Rattus norvegicus: one gene and its partner. The protein of the gene in region 1 interacts with the protein of each later gene in a biochemical or structural test. Links are inferred from orthologs where the notes say so. Each region holds a gene or a part of one and is shown in the gene's direction. Other genes may lie near its edges.

Evidence for each region. The genes of interacting proteins can lie anywhere in the genome.
Region 2: the proteins of Upf2 (region 1) and Upf3a form a complex in vitro, tested with the Homo sapiens proteins (2 studies listed by IntAct, with this or other methods). The link is inferred for Rattus norvegicus from reciprocal best matches to the Homo sapiens genes UPF2 and UPF3A.

Annotation. Positions count from the first base shown.
Region 1 is NC_086035.1:77,240,801-77,248,849, reverse strand, and holds the start of Upf2 (regulator of nonsense transcripts 2), read left to right. Parts: upstream 1-3,583; 5' UTR 3,584-3,743; intron 3,744-3,829; exon of another isoform or gene 3,830-3,945; intron 3,946-4,359; exon of another isoform or gene 4,360-4,496; intron 4,497-4,636; exon of another isoform or gene 4,637-4,715; intron 4,716-6,226; exon of another isoform or gene 6,227-6,338; intron 6,339-6,356; exon of another isoform or gene 6,357-6,475; intron 6,476-8,043; exon of another isoform or gene 8,044-8,049. UniProt on the Homo sapiens protein: Involved in nonsense-mediated decay (NMD) of mRNAs containing premature stop codons by associating with the nuclear exon junction complex (EJC).
Region 2 is NC_086034.1:82,459,142-82,466,750, reverse strand, and holds the end of Upf3a (regulator of nonsense transcripts 3A), read left to right. Parts: intron 1-3,587; coding exon 3,588-3,643; intron 3,644-3,735; coding exon 3,736-3,891; intron 3,892-5,043; coding exon 5,044-5,177; intron 5,178-6,597; coding exon 6,598-6,844; 3' UTR 6,845-7,100; downstream 7,101-7,609. UniProt on the Homo sapiens protein: Involved in nonsense-mediated decay (NMD) of mRNAs containing premature stop codons by associating with the nuclear exon junction complex (EJC) and serving as link between the EJC core and NMD machinery.

The DNA of each region.
Region 1 (8,049 bases):
CCTGCCCTATGCAAGGCCGAGATGGTTCCTTGAAAGCTCATCCAATGGTGAGCACACTCTTATTGTATTCTTCATTCTCCCCCTTTCCCTCCTTGGAGCATCTCCTTCCCTTTCATGACACCCACACTCTCACTGGCTTTCCTTTTTCTCATTGATATCTCACTCACAAACCTCACTTTTTTTAAAAAATAGTTTTTACTTTTAATGTTCAGAATTGGATATTAATAAATCTGTTTATTTCCTGCTTTTTTTCTTTATTTTAAATTGGATATTTTATTTATTTACATTTCAAATGTTATCCCCCTTTCCCAGTTTCCCCTCTACAAACCCCCGATCATGTCCCCCCTTCCCCTGCGTCTATGAAGGTGCTCCCCCACCTACCCACCCACTCCTGCCTCACCGTCCTAGCATTCCTCTATACTGGGGCATCAAACCTTCACAGGACCAAAGGACTCCTCCCATTGATGCAAGATAGGGCCCCTTCAGCCCTTCCCCTAACTCCTCCATTTGGGGTCCCCACTCTCAGTCCAATGGTTGGCTGCGAGCATCCTCCTCTGTATTGGTCATGCTCTGGCAGAGCCTCTCAGGAGACATCCATATAAGGCTCCTGTCAGCAAGCACTTCTTGGCATCAGCAATAGTGTCTGGGTTTGGTGTCTGTATATGGGATGGATCCCCAGGTGGAGCAGTCTCTGGATGGCCTTTCCTTCAGTCTCTGTTCCACTCTAAAGTCCGTGTTTCCTTTAGACAGGAGCAATACAGACCTAACTTTTATATACTTAGAAGTTTCTCTGGGGCTAGTCCTAAGCCTTCTGCTTCTTGATAATTTCTTTGGCAATCTCTTACCCATTCTGTGGCTGTAAGAATGGTTCCCTATGTGATGACAGTTTAACTTAGGATTTTTTGACTTTATGATGGTACAAACGTAAACTTACATTCAGTAAAAACTCACATTTTGACATTTTTTTTTGCCTTGAGATAGCAAACTTTGGCCTGGAGGCTAGGCAGCTGCAGTTCCCCGTTGGCTATGTTAAGGGCTCATGAGAGATAGCAGCTAAGGCTCTAAGCACACTGCACTGCTGAGCTAGGATGTTAGGAGGTTAGGGGGCTGAAATAGTTTCAGTTTGGGTTGAAGACGCAAGCCTGTTGTAAATCGAGCAGCACCTGTAATGTTGATGATTAAATTTTCATCTCTCGGGCAGAGTTCCTTCTCCTGTTTCAACTGTTCACTTAATTGTATCTAGCTGGATAACACAGGCTTTAGTGTACTAAACATATGGTTTAGTGCTGGGGCGCAAACCCAGGGTTGTCTGCGTGCTAAACAAATGCTCTACCATTGAGCTCAATCCTTAGCTCCTCTTCTCTTTTGATCCCTGTGATCACAAGATTTCCTAATAAACCTGATAACAAGACAGGGGTTGACCTGTTTAGGATGAGAACTTGTTCATCAATACAGGGGTAAATCTTTTTTTTCTTCTTCCTCTTTGAAAAGTTAAAAGAAAATTCGTGTGTGTGTGTGTGTGTGTGTGTGTGTGTGTGTCTGGCTGGATGTACAGACCTGCACTGCAGAGGCCAGTAGAGAGCACCAGAGTTCCTGGGTCTGGAGTTGCACGGTTGGTTGTGGTCTACCATGTGGGTGCTGGAAACTGAACCCAGTTATCTGCAAGAGCTGCAAGTGATTCTAACTCTTTTTTTTTTCTTTTTCTTCTTTTTTCTTTTTTTCAGAGCTGGGGACTGAACCCAGGGCCTTGCGCTTGCTAGGCAAGTGCTCTACCACTGAGCTAAACCCCCAACCCCGTGATTCTAACTCTTAAGCCATCTCTCCAGAGCCCACATTTTCTCAGTTTTTAAATGGGGTCCTGAGTTAGAGCCCAGGGCTTCATGCAAGATAAGGCAATGTTGTATGTAAGCTCTGTTACCCAGACCCAGGAAACAAACACTTTTTGCTGTTGCTGTTGTTGTTTGAGATAGGATTTTGCTAAGTGTGCCAGGCTGGCCTCTAACTCGTAACAATCCTCCTGCTCCAGCCTCTCAGTACTGAATTACAGATGTGAACCACCACCACACCAGATCTGGAGCAGGGTAAGGCAGACAAATTAAGAAAAGAAAACCCCGGGGTTGGGGATTTAGCTCAGTGGTAGAGCGCTTGCCTAGCAAGCGCAAGGCCCTGGGTTCAGTCCCCAGCTCCAAAAAAAAAAAAAAAAAAAAAAAAAAAAAAAAAAAAAAAAGAAAAAGAAAAGAAAACCCCAAACTTGCAAATGGTCCTCGGTTGTGTGGTATCATAGAAAAAAATTATAATTACTTATCAATGGTATAAATTGCAGCATTCACCTCTTTCCTTTGGTAAGGTACCCTTTATGTGATTAACCTATTGGTTATTTTGAACAAGAAAAAATTAACACAGGAAGTGCACAATTTGAAAGAGAATTTACTTACAACTAATAATGAAGGGAGCAGGGAGAAAGCAAACGAGCAAAGGCTGAATACAAAGGGGCAACGACATCCCAAGCATTAAGGATGCTAACAGATCATTCATTATATGAGCTTGAATACTGGTGTGGCTCCTCGAGTCAAGCAGGAATCCAGTCTTGTTTTGCACCTTTGATCCATTGGCTACAGGCCAGCCAGAGCGGTACCATATGTACATCCAACCAGACCACAATTTCAACACGAATCGGAGGTCAGACGCACATTTATATCCACTTGGGAAAACAGGTTGTGCAGCTGATAACGCACTTCAAAGTCAATTTGGTTCAAGTTCGTAACCCCATCCCTTAAAAAAAAAGGGGGGGCGATTTCATTCCACTGTGGAATTTAAAATACTTACAATAAAGGACTTTTTGTATTTCCCATATGGGAAAAGCCTTGACTGCTCTCAATTCTAGCTGTTTTTTTCAGGCCCAACACCTGAAACTGGTTCTGGAAACCCCCCACCCGTCTAGTCCTACTCCGAAGCAACCTCTACCTTCCTCACCAGCCATGTTCTTTAGCTTCTCCAGTTTTCAATTCCTTAAATCTTCTTCAATCTCTCGGTATTAGTCCAATCAGACTTTGCCTCCTCGAACCCCTTCCCCGCGTTCGCATCAGGCAACCCCCTTGAGAACTGGGTGACCAAACTTGACCCCGACAGCGCCCCGTAATTCTACTATCCCACCACTCTTCTACGCCTCTTTAGAGTTCCGCCCCGCCTCATTCCCGCTCCCCCCGCCCCAACCCGTGAATTGCCTGCGCCTGCGCACCTCCAATTCAGGCGCTTTCCCTTTCCTGACGGCCAATCCACTTCCCGCCTCCGGTCCTTGGAACACTCCTCCCCTCTGCTGGGGCCCTGAATGAAGGTGCTGGAAGAAGCTGTCCTAGATATTGCCTGTATAAAAAATTTACAGATAGGAGAATTTCAACGAATCACTGAAGAAGTAGAGCACCCTCGAGACTGGGTATACATTTATCACTTCAGAACCCGAATGGGGGTCTGGACACGCAGAAAGGACCGGCAGCGATGGTCAATTTGGATTAGGCAGTAATGCGGGCAGCCCTTTCCTTTCCCCCTTCCCTCCGCCCCGCCCCCCTAGCTGCCCGGCCGCGTTGGTGAGTGGCGGGCGGGAGGGCCGACGGGCGGAGGGAGGAGGGGGAGCTGAGGGAAGGCGGGCCCTCGGCTGCGAGATAGGTGGGGGGAGGGGAGGGGAGAGCCCGAGCTCTGGAGTTGGTGCTGGGAAACCCGGGGCTAATGTTGACAACAGGCACTAGGTGAGTCCCAGGGATCCTCCTTCCCCTCCGCTCCGACGATAGGCAAGAGCTGGCGCGGAGGGGTACCGGCCTGGACTCCTACTCCCCGAGGGACCCGAGAGGCGACTCCGCACTCCTGCTCTCCGGGGGCGGCGAGCAGTGGAGGGACGAGCGGGTCGGACGTCGTTCTCCTCAGACCCCTCTCCCGGAGGGTCTGGTCAATGTGAGGGATCTCTCGGCCGGGCCGAGGCTGGCGTGAGGGGCGACAGAAGAGGTGTCTGCCCCACATGCCTGGGCCCAGCCTCGGGGCTGGAGGCGGGGGAGTCTGCTGTGGAGGGGGAAGGTGTTCGGGGGCGTGGAAGAGTGCGTGGAGAGGCTGGGGCGAGCTCCGGAGTCCGGAGGGAAGCGTGGACGGGGGAGCGGGGAGGATGTAGAGTAGTCAGACAAGCTCGAGAGGCTTCGGTGCTGAGGGAGTGTAGGTTGAGAAGTTAGGGTTGGGGCTTAGATGTCCTCAGGGAATAGGAGTTGTGGACGGGAAGTATGTCAATGGTGGGACCCTGAACCACAGCGGGGGTTTGTGGGAGATTTGTGGGTGATGCGTGTGCAGGGGAAGAGGCTTGGAGTGGACCCGCAGATGGTGAGAACTGGGCTGTTTGGGTTTACTTCCTTTTAATCAGGTAGGCTAGTTGATTCTTCGACTCTTCCTCAAGGCTCTCATTACTTCCCTTACGAGTACTGTTGAACTAAAGAGGTGATCACACGGTGTTTGATCTGGTAAGCCAAGCAGAGGCTGCTTACAGGTTTTGGGGATACGCATGGTAGCGAATAGCTCAGCTCTTAGAAAAACTTAAATGTATCAATTGACACGGTAGATGAAAGTAAGGCTCTTAACTGACCCTTCTCATTTGTCATAGTTTTTAGGTGTTCATAAAAGTCGTACAAATCATCGGGCAAGCCTTTATTGAGCTGTGGTGAAATTTCTGAAAAATTTGAGTAAGTCTCACACATACATATAAGATACATAATGACTTTGTAAAAGAATAAACTCAGAGACCAGAAGATATCCCTGTGCTGTTCTACCTTTAGAACATTTTGAGTTCAAAACCCAGACTTGAAGAGTAAACCAGCATTCTCCTACTCTGTAGTATTTTCAGAGCAGTCTGATTGTGATTTCATACATAGACCATATGGTACTTAGCAGACTTATAGCTGTATTAGGGAAACACATCCCTTCTCTGTCCTCTCTCAGGACATTGCCTTAGAATCTGTTTTACTAGTAAAAGAGTCCTTTTTTACTTTTTCTTTTGGGAGTTTAGAATGTAATTAGAAAGGCAGATAAAATAATACAGATCGAGTGCCTAGGGTGGTGTTTTGGGAGCTGGAAAGGTGGTTTTCAACCATACTTTCAGCCCGTTTACAGGCTGTCTGAATATAATTGTAATCCGGCAGAGTAGTTTGTAAAAGTTAATCCTATTTCAACTTCAACACCACTAACTTTTATATTCATTATTTTATTACATGGGGAATTTGGAAACACTTTAGGTGAATTATTTAGCTGCTATTAAATACGAATCTAGCGTTTTTATTAGATTTAATTTATTATATTTAAATTGACAGGATACAAATGTGTCTTGTTGGATTCACGTTTGTTTTTTAGTTAACTTGGTGCGTGTGAAGAGTGGAAAAGAGCACTGGGTAGCTCCTGAGGCAGATGGGTAACCTTGGGCAGCTAGCGCTGTCGTCAGCACCAGAAGCTTGGAGTGGGTAGAGCCCCGTAGTCTTTAATCCTAAAGATCTCTCATCTTGTACCACCTTTTCAGTGTCAGGTGTGAAAGAGAGCTGACATTTATTTAGTGTCTTTCTCTATGGTAGCTACTGTGATGTAGGCTAGTAACTCTAGGGAACACCAGCTCCATTTTATCTGCAAATAAGTAGAATAAACGGAGAAGTTAAGCTGCCTGATTTCCGTAGCTAGTAGGGTCCAAAGCTGGGATACACACTTGAGGCTGACTTGAACACCTGTTCTCTTTGCTCACGTCCCATTGCTGCCTGTACTTTTGGTTATAAATTTGTTAGCTGGAATTTGGTTTTGACAAAGGACTTACAGATCTCTTTGGGAATCTGTTCTGTCATCCTCTGAAGCAGGAAGTGTCTTAGTTTGCTATTGACTGTCACTGTCTATTAGTGTGCTAGTTACTTACATTTACCTAATAAACGAACATTGGTGAGTCATGGCAGTTTGGGACCCTGCAGAGCTTATAAATGATGATCTTTCATGGATTTGTCAGATAAAGAGTAAGATTGTCGATTCTGTGGAAAAATTTAAAATTTAATTTATAAGGAACACTTTAGTTATAAATTCTGATGTTGATTTTGTTGTCTGAGAACTGTGTGTTCTTGTAATCTTGAAATACCTTGTTTATACTTCACATCACAAAATACAAATTCTATAAAATTTTGTTGCATATAACGATTAATACCCTTAAGTAAGATCGTATTGTTACCTTAAACAGGACGTGTCTCCGTAGGTTCAGCCAGTGTGCCAGTAAGCTAAGAGCTTCACGGAGCAAGTGCCAAAGCATTATTAGGCCCCCTGCTGAGATTCACAGTTCTATGACTTGTCATAGTCGGGGTCTGTGATCAAGTCTTCCATCTCACAGGCCGGCGCTCTCAGGGTTCTTAACTTTGGTTAAGACTGTGAATTCACATTCCAGTTCTATCACCAGCTGTGGGGACCTTGGTCAAGTTACTTGGTTAAGTCTCAGTTTACTCATTTATAAGTAGGGAAGACAATACCCACCTCATAAAAGCTTTAGTATTAAGTGAGACAATATACATAAAAGGTTTAGTGTGGTACCTGTGACTAGACACTGGCATTACACTGTTTGAAGGTTGGGTTAGAGCGTGGTGGTGTCACAGTCAAGGCGGTATACACTGCAGGGTAAGAGGTAAATGAGAGTAGCGGGGAGGCTGAAGGAAGGTGGAGGCTGGTACTAAGCTGTCTATGGACCTTCAGCACTCTCCTGGTCTAGGTTGTCTTTCTGGTCATATTTTAACTCTAAAGTAGGAAATTCCTTATTTATTGATACTTTATTATTGCAAAGGCTTTAGTTATTAACCTGGGATTTCTTGCTATAATTTAAATGCTGTACTTGAAAATACTTAAGACAACTTGTACATCCTTACCTTTTTCCAAGACAGCAAGAAGTTTAAATACTTTTATACTTTGTAAATAAAATTGTGATTTTTCTCATATGTAACTTGCAGATAATTTAGAAGTCAAAACATAAAAGCAGTGCCTGAACGTTGTGTGAGATACCTAGCTCTAGTAGAGAAGTGTATTTTTTGAGAAGGCCTACATTTTGGTGAGATATACAGGTTTTTTCTTTCAGTTTATGTAGTTTCCAGTTAAGCATGTGAGTTTGTTTAGTGCTGTCCAAATAGCACATTCTGTGATGGTGGAAATGTTTGGTATCTGCACTGCCCTGCTTGGAAGCCACTGGTCATGAGGAATTGAACACTTGAAGTGCGGTGGCCCTGAGCAACTGAATTACAGGTTTTATTTAAGTTGAATTTGTGTGTAAGTGGCTTAGTGCAGTACTACTAAGTAGTACTACTAGTAGTAGTTTTTCAGCCAGTGATACTTATGTCCCTCAGGAGCATTTATTATCTGGAGTAATTTGTTGTCATTTACCACATGGGAGGCACAGAGGTGCTTAGTTGCTTCAGGTTTATAGGATAACCTTTAAGTTCTACAAAGAATGAATTATCTGATAGGCTGAGGCTCTAGCTCAGTGGTAGAGTGCTTACCTTGTGGGCAAAAAGCCTGACTTTCATTTCTAACACTGCTAAACAAACAAAAAAACCCAAAAAACCCCACCAGACTTGCTCAAAATGATAGCAGTGCTGAGGTTTAGAAACTGGACTACTGGCTGCCCTGCTGACAGTACAGAACAGAATATGCAGGTCTTATTAATCATTGTGCTTATAAACATTCTCTTGTACTAATGAGATTGAAGGCCTGCTCTAATTTGAGCGAGTTTTTTATTTTACAAGTTTGATAAGATTATAGTAACGGGTAAAATTTATGACTCAGAATTCTATACTCTGTTCATTGGTTAGGTGGAAGCAAGAGTTTTTGCTTTGTAACTCCTCTCTTGAGTAAATACGTTCCAAGAATATTGCATGAAGTAGTAAATCAGGATCTCTATCTCTTCCCTCATTTTGGAGTGCTGAGACGTGGGCTTCCCTCATTAGATAGCATTCTCTCACTGAACTGTGATCACAGCAAAAGAGTCAGACTTATTTGCTTGTTTCACAGTGCGGA
Region 2 (7,609 bases), on another chromosome or scaffold:
TCTTTCTACCAAAGAGCAATAGCATGGAGAAATATTTCTGAGCCTTTCTTGATGAAGACTATGCTTCTAGGGCCTTTGTTTAAAATGGCCGTGCTGCCACAGACAAGCGCATGCCCTTAGCTGCTCAGAGAGGAGCTTTTGTCACAGCATTACTGTCTCTGCAGAGCAGCCGCGGGTGAGCCTTGGGAGCCTGTAGAGACAAGACACTTGGCTCATACAGGAAGCTAAGAATCTGAGAAAGCTCTTCTGTCAGTGCGTGAGCCCAGCTAGAGTCTAGCATCTGGTTTGAATCCCCATAGAACTTCTGTTTTAGAAATGTTTGTCTCTTCAGAAAATATGTGTGCAGACATGAGACCCCTTTGGTTTTCACCAGGCACACTTAGTTCAGCCTCAGACCCACCCAAATGTCCCATTTCCTGATGGTCTCAGTATTAAACCTCTCCTCGAGGGTCTGGAGAGATAGTTAAGAGCATTGTTGATCTTCCAAAGGTCCCGGGTTGGATTTCCAGCACACAAATGGTGGCTCACAGCAGTCTATAACCGCAGTCCCAGGGGATCCAGCGCCCTCTTCTGGCCTCTGTGGGTACTGCACATACATGGTAGACACACAAATATGCAGAGTATTCATACACATACAGATTTTAAAAACAGAACCCTTTTTCCCACGACCGAGCACCCTAACATGTCCTGCTCACCTGTCAAGACTTGTATAACACCTCACGTATAATCGGTTTACTGGTTTCCACATGAATTCCCTTCCCGATTTCCTCCCCTACTTGCACAGTGGAACAATATATGCATCTTGTAGTTACAGAAAAGAGATGTTTAAAAGTGAGTGTGTGAATGAAGTGAGTGAATGAAGAGACCGGAGTCTGAAACTCTGTAGGAACAGCATGTAGCTCATGTGACTGCTGAGATGTAAGGAGCCCATGCTGAGCCCTGACACCTGCCACCTCCCAGGGAGAGGCGTGGGCTAATTCACACCCATTATCGCTATGTCCGCGGTGCTGCTGAGTGCCAGAGAGAGGCAGGTCTGGCTGACAGCTCGCTCCCCAGAGAAGCCTGTCGTGTTATGCCGAGCATGTTTTAGAAGTCAAATATTGGCAGAAAGGAGGATAATGACTGGATTAGTGTGGGGGCTGTGGGGGCTCCGGGGCAGAAAGAACGAAAGACCAGGGGGGTTCAGATGGGCAGGCGAGTTAGTTGTGGCTCCACGTATACCTAGAAAAGACAGACAAGGAGACTTCGGGGACAAAACTCGAGATTTGACTCAAACATGTTAAATTTATGAAGGTAGAAAAGGCAGCTTAGGTACTTCAGAAGTCACCTCAAATGTCCCCTTGCCATCAGGGCGTCACTACAGGCTACTTTGAGACGTCCTCTTTGAGGATTGGAACCTAGTTTGTTCCCACGGAGGGCGTCTGTCCTTGGGGCCTCAGCCTGCTGGATCTTGCTCAGAGCTTCATTCCAGATGTGGGCCGTGGAGGCTGCATCTGTAGTTAACTGAGTCTGCCTTTAATCAGAATCTCGGACATGAAGTTCAAGGTTTAAATAAAGTCATAAGCTTGTGTGGACAGGATTTCCGACTGGACCAGCTTAGGATTATCTCTGAGGCTTGGCACTTCATGGCCACGGCAAACACCATCTCCTTGTTGAGCTCTGTAAACTGTTGTAATTAGGAGGGAGGAGAGATAAGGTAGTCTTATTGAACTTTATCTTGGGATCCTTTGTTTTGCAAATCTGATAGCCAATGTGTCTCTTTAAAGTTAATTCATTTCTGCCAGACTGATTACATCCACGACATAGCTCCTGCCATAATGCGTGGGCATTACTGAGCATGCCCACTCTCTGTGAGGCTGAGTACCATGTGTCTCTAGCCAGGTATCCAAGGTCCTCAGTATCACGTGAACTCTCAGGTATGTCCAAGGATTCTTCCCCGCCTGTTCACTATGAGATCTTAAAGGTCCGTAGAGCAGGCCCATCCCCATCTTCTCGCCATGCGCTCACATTTGAAGACTGTGGAGCAGTGTATCTGTTTTGACTGGCCTATCTCATAAAAGTACGTATAGAATTTCCCACTTGTGTTGTTACGTCAGAGCTCAAAATGTTACTTGGGGGCATTTGATTTTGGACTTTTAAATTGGGTTGGCATGTATTAAAGACTGTTTTATCGGTGCTGGAAAGATGGCTCAGCACCGAGAGCACTTGTTTCTGTAGAGGAGAGCAGTTCCCAGCTCCCACACGGTTACTGACTTCAGTTCCAGGGAATCTGACAGCCTCTTCTGACCACCACAGACACCAGGCACAAACATGGTACACATCATACATACAGACAAAACACTCTTACAGATAAAATAAAATTAAATAGATCTTTTTTTAAAAAAAAACCCAACAGTGGAAGAAGAAAAAATTCTGAAAATGTGCATAGCAGGAAAGTAAATTTGTAAACATTACTTCAGAAGTAAAAATAAATTAGTAGCATTTGAGACGCTTCCGATGTCATACATACACATTTTCTGTCAACTGTGTGAGCGATAGTTTATGGCTTTTCTTTTAGTTTCTATGAATGCAAGCTTTATTGTTAATGTACCTTCCATAGACATAAATCCCAACAAGGAGGTTGACAGGTCAGAAACCCGTGACATGTTATCTCTGCTACGGTACCCAGAAGAGAGTGTGGGACTCCTCAAGGCTTCCAAAGCTTCGGGTCCAGGGTCATTTTGAGGGGACTCCTTGGGGTTCTGCCTGGTGGTTCCTCTTGACGTACAGTGGCAGCAGCACATTTTGCAGTTCTCGCAGGCCTTAGACGACCCCTTGAGCATCGTCTCGCGCCTCTTCTTGAAGAACCAGTGCCTAATGCATCCTTTGCCAGTTTGGGTTCCTCGGCCAAGGCCTCAGGAGTCTCCTCGTTAGGGTTGGGGTCTGTCTCGAAGCGCTTTCTTAGCTGCTGTAACTGCTCGCAGGAGAACCGAGAGCTTCTGTCCATGCAAGGAAACCGTGGCGTTGTCGCCACCTCAGTTACTCCAGGACTGCAGCACACTCGGGTCTGCTCTTCAGTTTGAGGCTCTCTTATGACCTTTTCTAAGAAAAAATGTGTGACTTTCTCTTCACTGTTCAGTCGCCTGTGGTTCAGTAAATAACTGCATACCCATTCTCCTCCTACAAACAGCTCTGATTAAACTCATTGGGAAACAATGACAAAGGGGGACTGGAGGAGGAGGAGTTGGGAAGAAAAGGGTCAGCAGGAGAGGGCGGGGTCGTGGGTAGGTCGTAGAGTGTAACTGTGGTCAAAGTACATTTTATATGTATAAGAAATGTCATAGTAGCCCATTATTATGCATAATTGATATATGCTAGTAAGAACTTAGAAGAGTGGTATGTCAGTGGATACAGAGTGGTCAGTACCTACAAATTACTCGAATATGTAACAACAGAATAAGAGTGCTCCCAGGTACAGGGCATACTCACGTACATTTTAGAGATAGTGTTCTTCCCCTAATTATTTTAATGTTAAATTGGAAATAAGTACTTAAAATAAATCTGAACTTACAAGTTATGTGTAATGTATTATAATTTTTGTTCTTTAGCCAGAAGAACCACACCTCTTTTGGAATATATTAAAAACAGAAAATTAGAAAAGCAGGTAGGTGGCGTTTGACCTGGTGAGCGTCTGTGCTGTACCTGCTGCTTCCACACAGGAGCCTTACATTTGTGTCTGACTGTATGTACCTTCAGAGACTCCGGGAAGAAAAACGCGAGGAGCGGAGGAGGAGGGAGCTGGAGAAGAAGCGTCTGCGGGAGGAAGAGAAGAGGAAGCGGAGAGAAGAGGACAGGTGTAAAAGGAAAGATGCAGAAAAACAGAAGCGAGCGGAGAAGGACGTGAGGATCAAGGTAACTGCAGGAGCAGTGCGGCTCTGTCACCGTGGTTACGCCACTGAAGTGTCTACCGTAACTCTTTAAGGTCATCACGTGTAGGCCATCTAGCCCTTTATCCCAGTGCCTTACATCCATTCTATAACAGTCCCCCGAGTTCAGCCGTCCCCCATGACCTGTGTACTGAGGAGGAGGCAGGGACAACCTCTGACTGTGATGTAGAATGGGTCACACCACCGGAAGAGCCCATCCATGCTTTAAATTCTTGTGACTGAAGCGAGTTGCACCTGAGAACTTCCAGCTGGCCTCAGTGTCCCCCTCAGTACCTCAGGGCTAGGACGAGGCACTGGGGGATGCAGGGGGCCAAGGGAGTCTCAGCCTCATGTCCAGTTTTTCCCATGGCAGGTGCGTTTATTTATATGGATTGAAGAGATTTTTCAATCCATTGGTTAGGATCGGATCAGCTCTGCTGAGAAGTCTTTTTTTTTTTTTTTTTTTTTTTGGTTCTTTTTTTCGGAGCTGGGGACCGAACCCAGGGCCTTGCGCTTCCTAGGCAAGCGCTCTACCACTGAGCTAAATCCCCAGCCCCCTGAGAAGTCTTTAAAACTGAGATTTCACCTTACTCCACAGAGGATTTGAGATGCCTTAGGGGGTTCTGAATACACAATATAAAGAAAGCATCAACCATCATTAACTGTTACTTTTTTTTGATTTTTTTTTTAAGATTTATTCATTTATTATATATAAGTACACTGTAGCTGTCTTCAGATACACCAGAAGAGGGCATCGGATCTCTTTACAGATGGTTGTGAGCCACCATGTGGTTGCTGGGAATTGAACTCATGACCTCTGGAAGAGCAGTCGGTGCTCTTAACTGCTGAGCCATCTCTCCAGCCCCAACTGTTACTTTTAATACGTAAGGATCATGTCCATGGTTAGCAAAATGCGTATGTATGTGCACCACATGTGTGTCTGGTACCAGGAGAAGCCAGTAGAGAGCACTGAGTCCCCTGGAACTGGCGTTAATTATGGTTGTGAGCTACCGTGTGGGTGACAGGAACCTAACCCAGGTGCTCTTGAAGAGCAGCAAGGGTTAACCACTGGGCCACAGTAATAAATCATACAGTAATAAATCACACAGTAAATCACATCAATGTTACGATTTCTTAGCTTCTTAAGAAACTGGAAACGGGAGAAGAAGCGACCACTGAGAAACACAAAGAAAGAGGTGAAGCCGTTGGTGCTGGCGAGGAGAAGCAGGAAGCCCGGCTGGTGGAGAGCCAGCCGGAGACACCTGGGGAGAGGTGAGCGCTCCTATCGCAGTGACCTAGCGTGGTGAACACTGTGACCCAGCAGCCTGAGTCTGAGCTCAGCGGGGAAGTCTCCTGCCCTCGCCTCCTCCCGGCTTAGGTCTGCAGGTCTGCTGTCCAGTCCTGCTTTCTGTGTGAACCACACCTACGAGTGCTTTCCTGGGCGTGTTGGGATTTCACACCCACTTTTACTCCAACTCTTCCGCAGTCTCTCTGTGGTACTAAGGACGACACAGAGAGGCTGGCAGGAAGTTCTCAGGTGTGACTCGGTTCAGGTACCTACAACGACAGTTTCAGAGCCCCATCTTTTAGGGCTGGTCCCTTTTGGAGGTTGGTTTGTTGGTTTGGTTTATTGTATTTATTTATTTATTGTGGTGGAGCGATAGGCCTTAGTATTATAATTCTTCTCCTCAGCTCTGTCTTCCATTGGTCCTGCCTCTTTATCTTTACCTGGAGGGAGCTCAGCCTTGATGGGGCAGGCACAGCCCAGGCCCTGGGTATCGTGTCTGCCACACACACCCAGGCTTGCCCACACCAAGGCTGCTTCTACTTGTTGGATTACCAACTCCGTAGTCTTTAGCACTTTGATCTGCGTTTTAGCATTGTAGCCTCACAGTGTATGTACAGCAGTACTGTGCGGTCCTCTCTTGATTCCCTGCTTCCCATGTGGCTAGGACTCGGAGGGAATGTGCTAGGTTGTGCCCATGGTTCAAGTGAGCAAAGACATCAAGAACCAGATAAACCAAGCATCTTGTTCACTACTCCTTGAACCTTTCCATAGCGTGGATGAGTCCATCTGGCACTGTTAGATGTCAGTTCACCTGGGCACCTAGGAATGTCACTCATTTGTCTGAGCTGTACCATGCTGTCTTAGGGTTTTACTGCTGTGAACAGACACCATGACCAAGGCAACTCTTATAAGGACAACATTTAACTGGGGCTGGCTTACAGGTTCAGAGGCTCAGTCCATTATCATCAAGGCAGGAGCATGGCAGTGACCAGGCAGGCTTGGTGCTCTAGACAGAGCAAGAGTTCTACATCTTGATCCAAAGGCAGTCAGCAGAGAACTCAGCATCCTCAGGCAGCTAGGAGGAGGGTCACAGAGACCACCCCACAGTGACACTTCCTCCAACAAGGCCACACCTCTTTCAGTGCCACTCCCACCCCTGGGGATGGCACCTCCTTTGTCCACTGTGTCCACGTACCTTAGTGCTGTGCCATTGTATAGTTGCCGGTCAGGACCAGTGCAGATAGCGTTGTTTGCCCATCTTCTCCGTGTCCTCTGTCGGGTGCTGTGAGCCCATGGCTGCTAACCCAGCTCTGTAGCAGTGGGCTCGTTCTCACACAGCCCATTCAGGGTAGAAGGGAGACGCTTACCTGCCCTTAGTTATTAACCATTTGTATCGACTCACAGGTTACAGGACGGCAGTGATAAAGAACCAAGGGACAAAAGATTTCGAGAGAAAGAGCCTGAGACTCCGAGATGCCATGACAGTTGCAGAAAGCACAGCACTCACTCAGAGTTTGCCAGGTTTTCCAGAAGGAGCGAGGAGGAGCCAAAGTGGAGGAAAGGCTTCACCCAGGACGGAGGGGAGAGGGGCCAGGACGGGGGCGTCCCTGCGGATGGCAGAGCAAAGCAGCAAGGAGCACAAGGAGTATGACAGACGTCTTCCCTGTTGAGGTGTGCGCGGACACAGTGTGCTCTGCCGTCTCACAGCCATTTTGCCCAAATAGAAATCCTTACTAAGCTGGAGGAGAGCAGTCTGCGGTGTGTGCAGTCCAGGGTCGCACTGTCTGTGTCAGCTTGCATGCCCATGCGGAAGGAATTGCAAAGTCCTCGTCTGTTAGGGCATTCGTGCTCATCTGGGATGCACTGAACTTGGAACTAAATTCAGAATAAAACATTCCATCATCTTTTTAAAGAATCAGGTTTTTATTGACCAGCAAAAATTGTTTAGTGTAAGTCATTTACTGGAGATGAATATTGTAAATGCAGCCTTAAGATCATAAGGGAAAGGGCTGGAGAGATGGCTCAGGGGTTAAGAGCACTGACTGCTCTTCCAGAGGTCCTGAGTTCAATTCCCAGCAACCACATGGTGGCTCACAACCATCTGTAATGGGATCTGATGCCCTCTTCTGGTGTGTCTGAGGACAGTGACAGTGTACTCATATGAAGTAAATAAATCTTGAGAAAAGAAAAAAGATGAGGGAAGGAGATCTTGTGAGCTTTCTGTGATGAGTCAGCTCTGCCTACTCAGACCAGAAGAGGTCTGGGCAGAAATGTGAAGGTCACTTTTGTTCAGTCACATTTCCCAGAGCCACATTCAGGGTAGCACTACCAGTGGGGCCACCTCTAGGCTGTTCCCCACTAATAAACCAATATCTGGGAGCCAAGAGCTGGGGGGGGGCAGATAAACAGAGGGCTG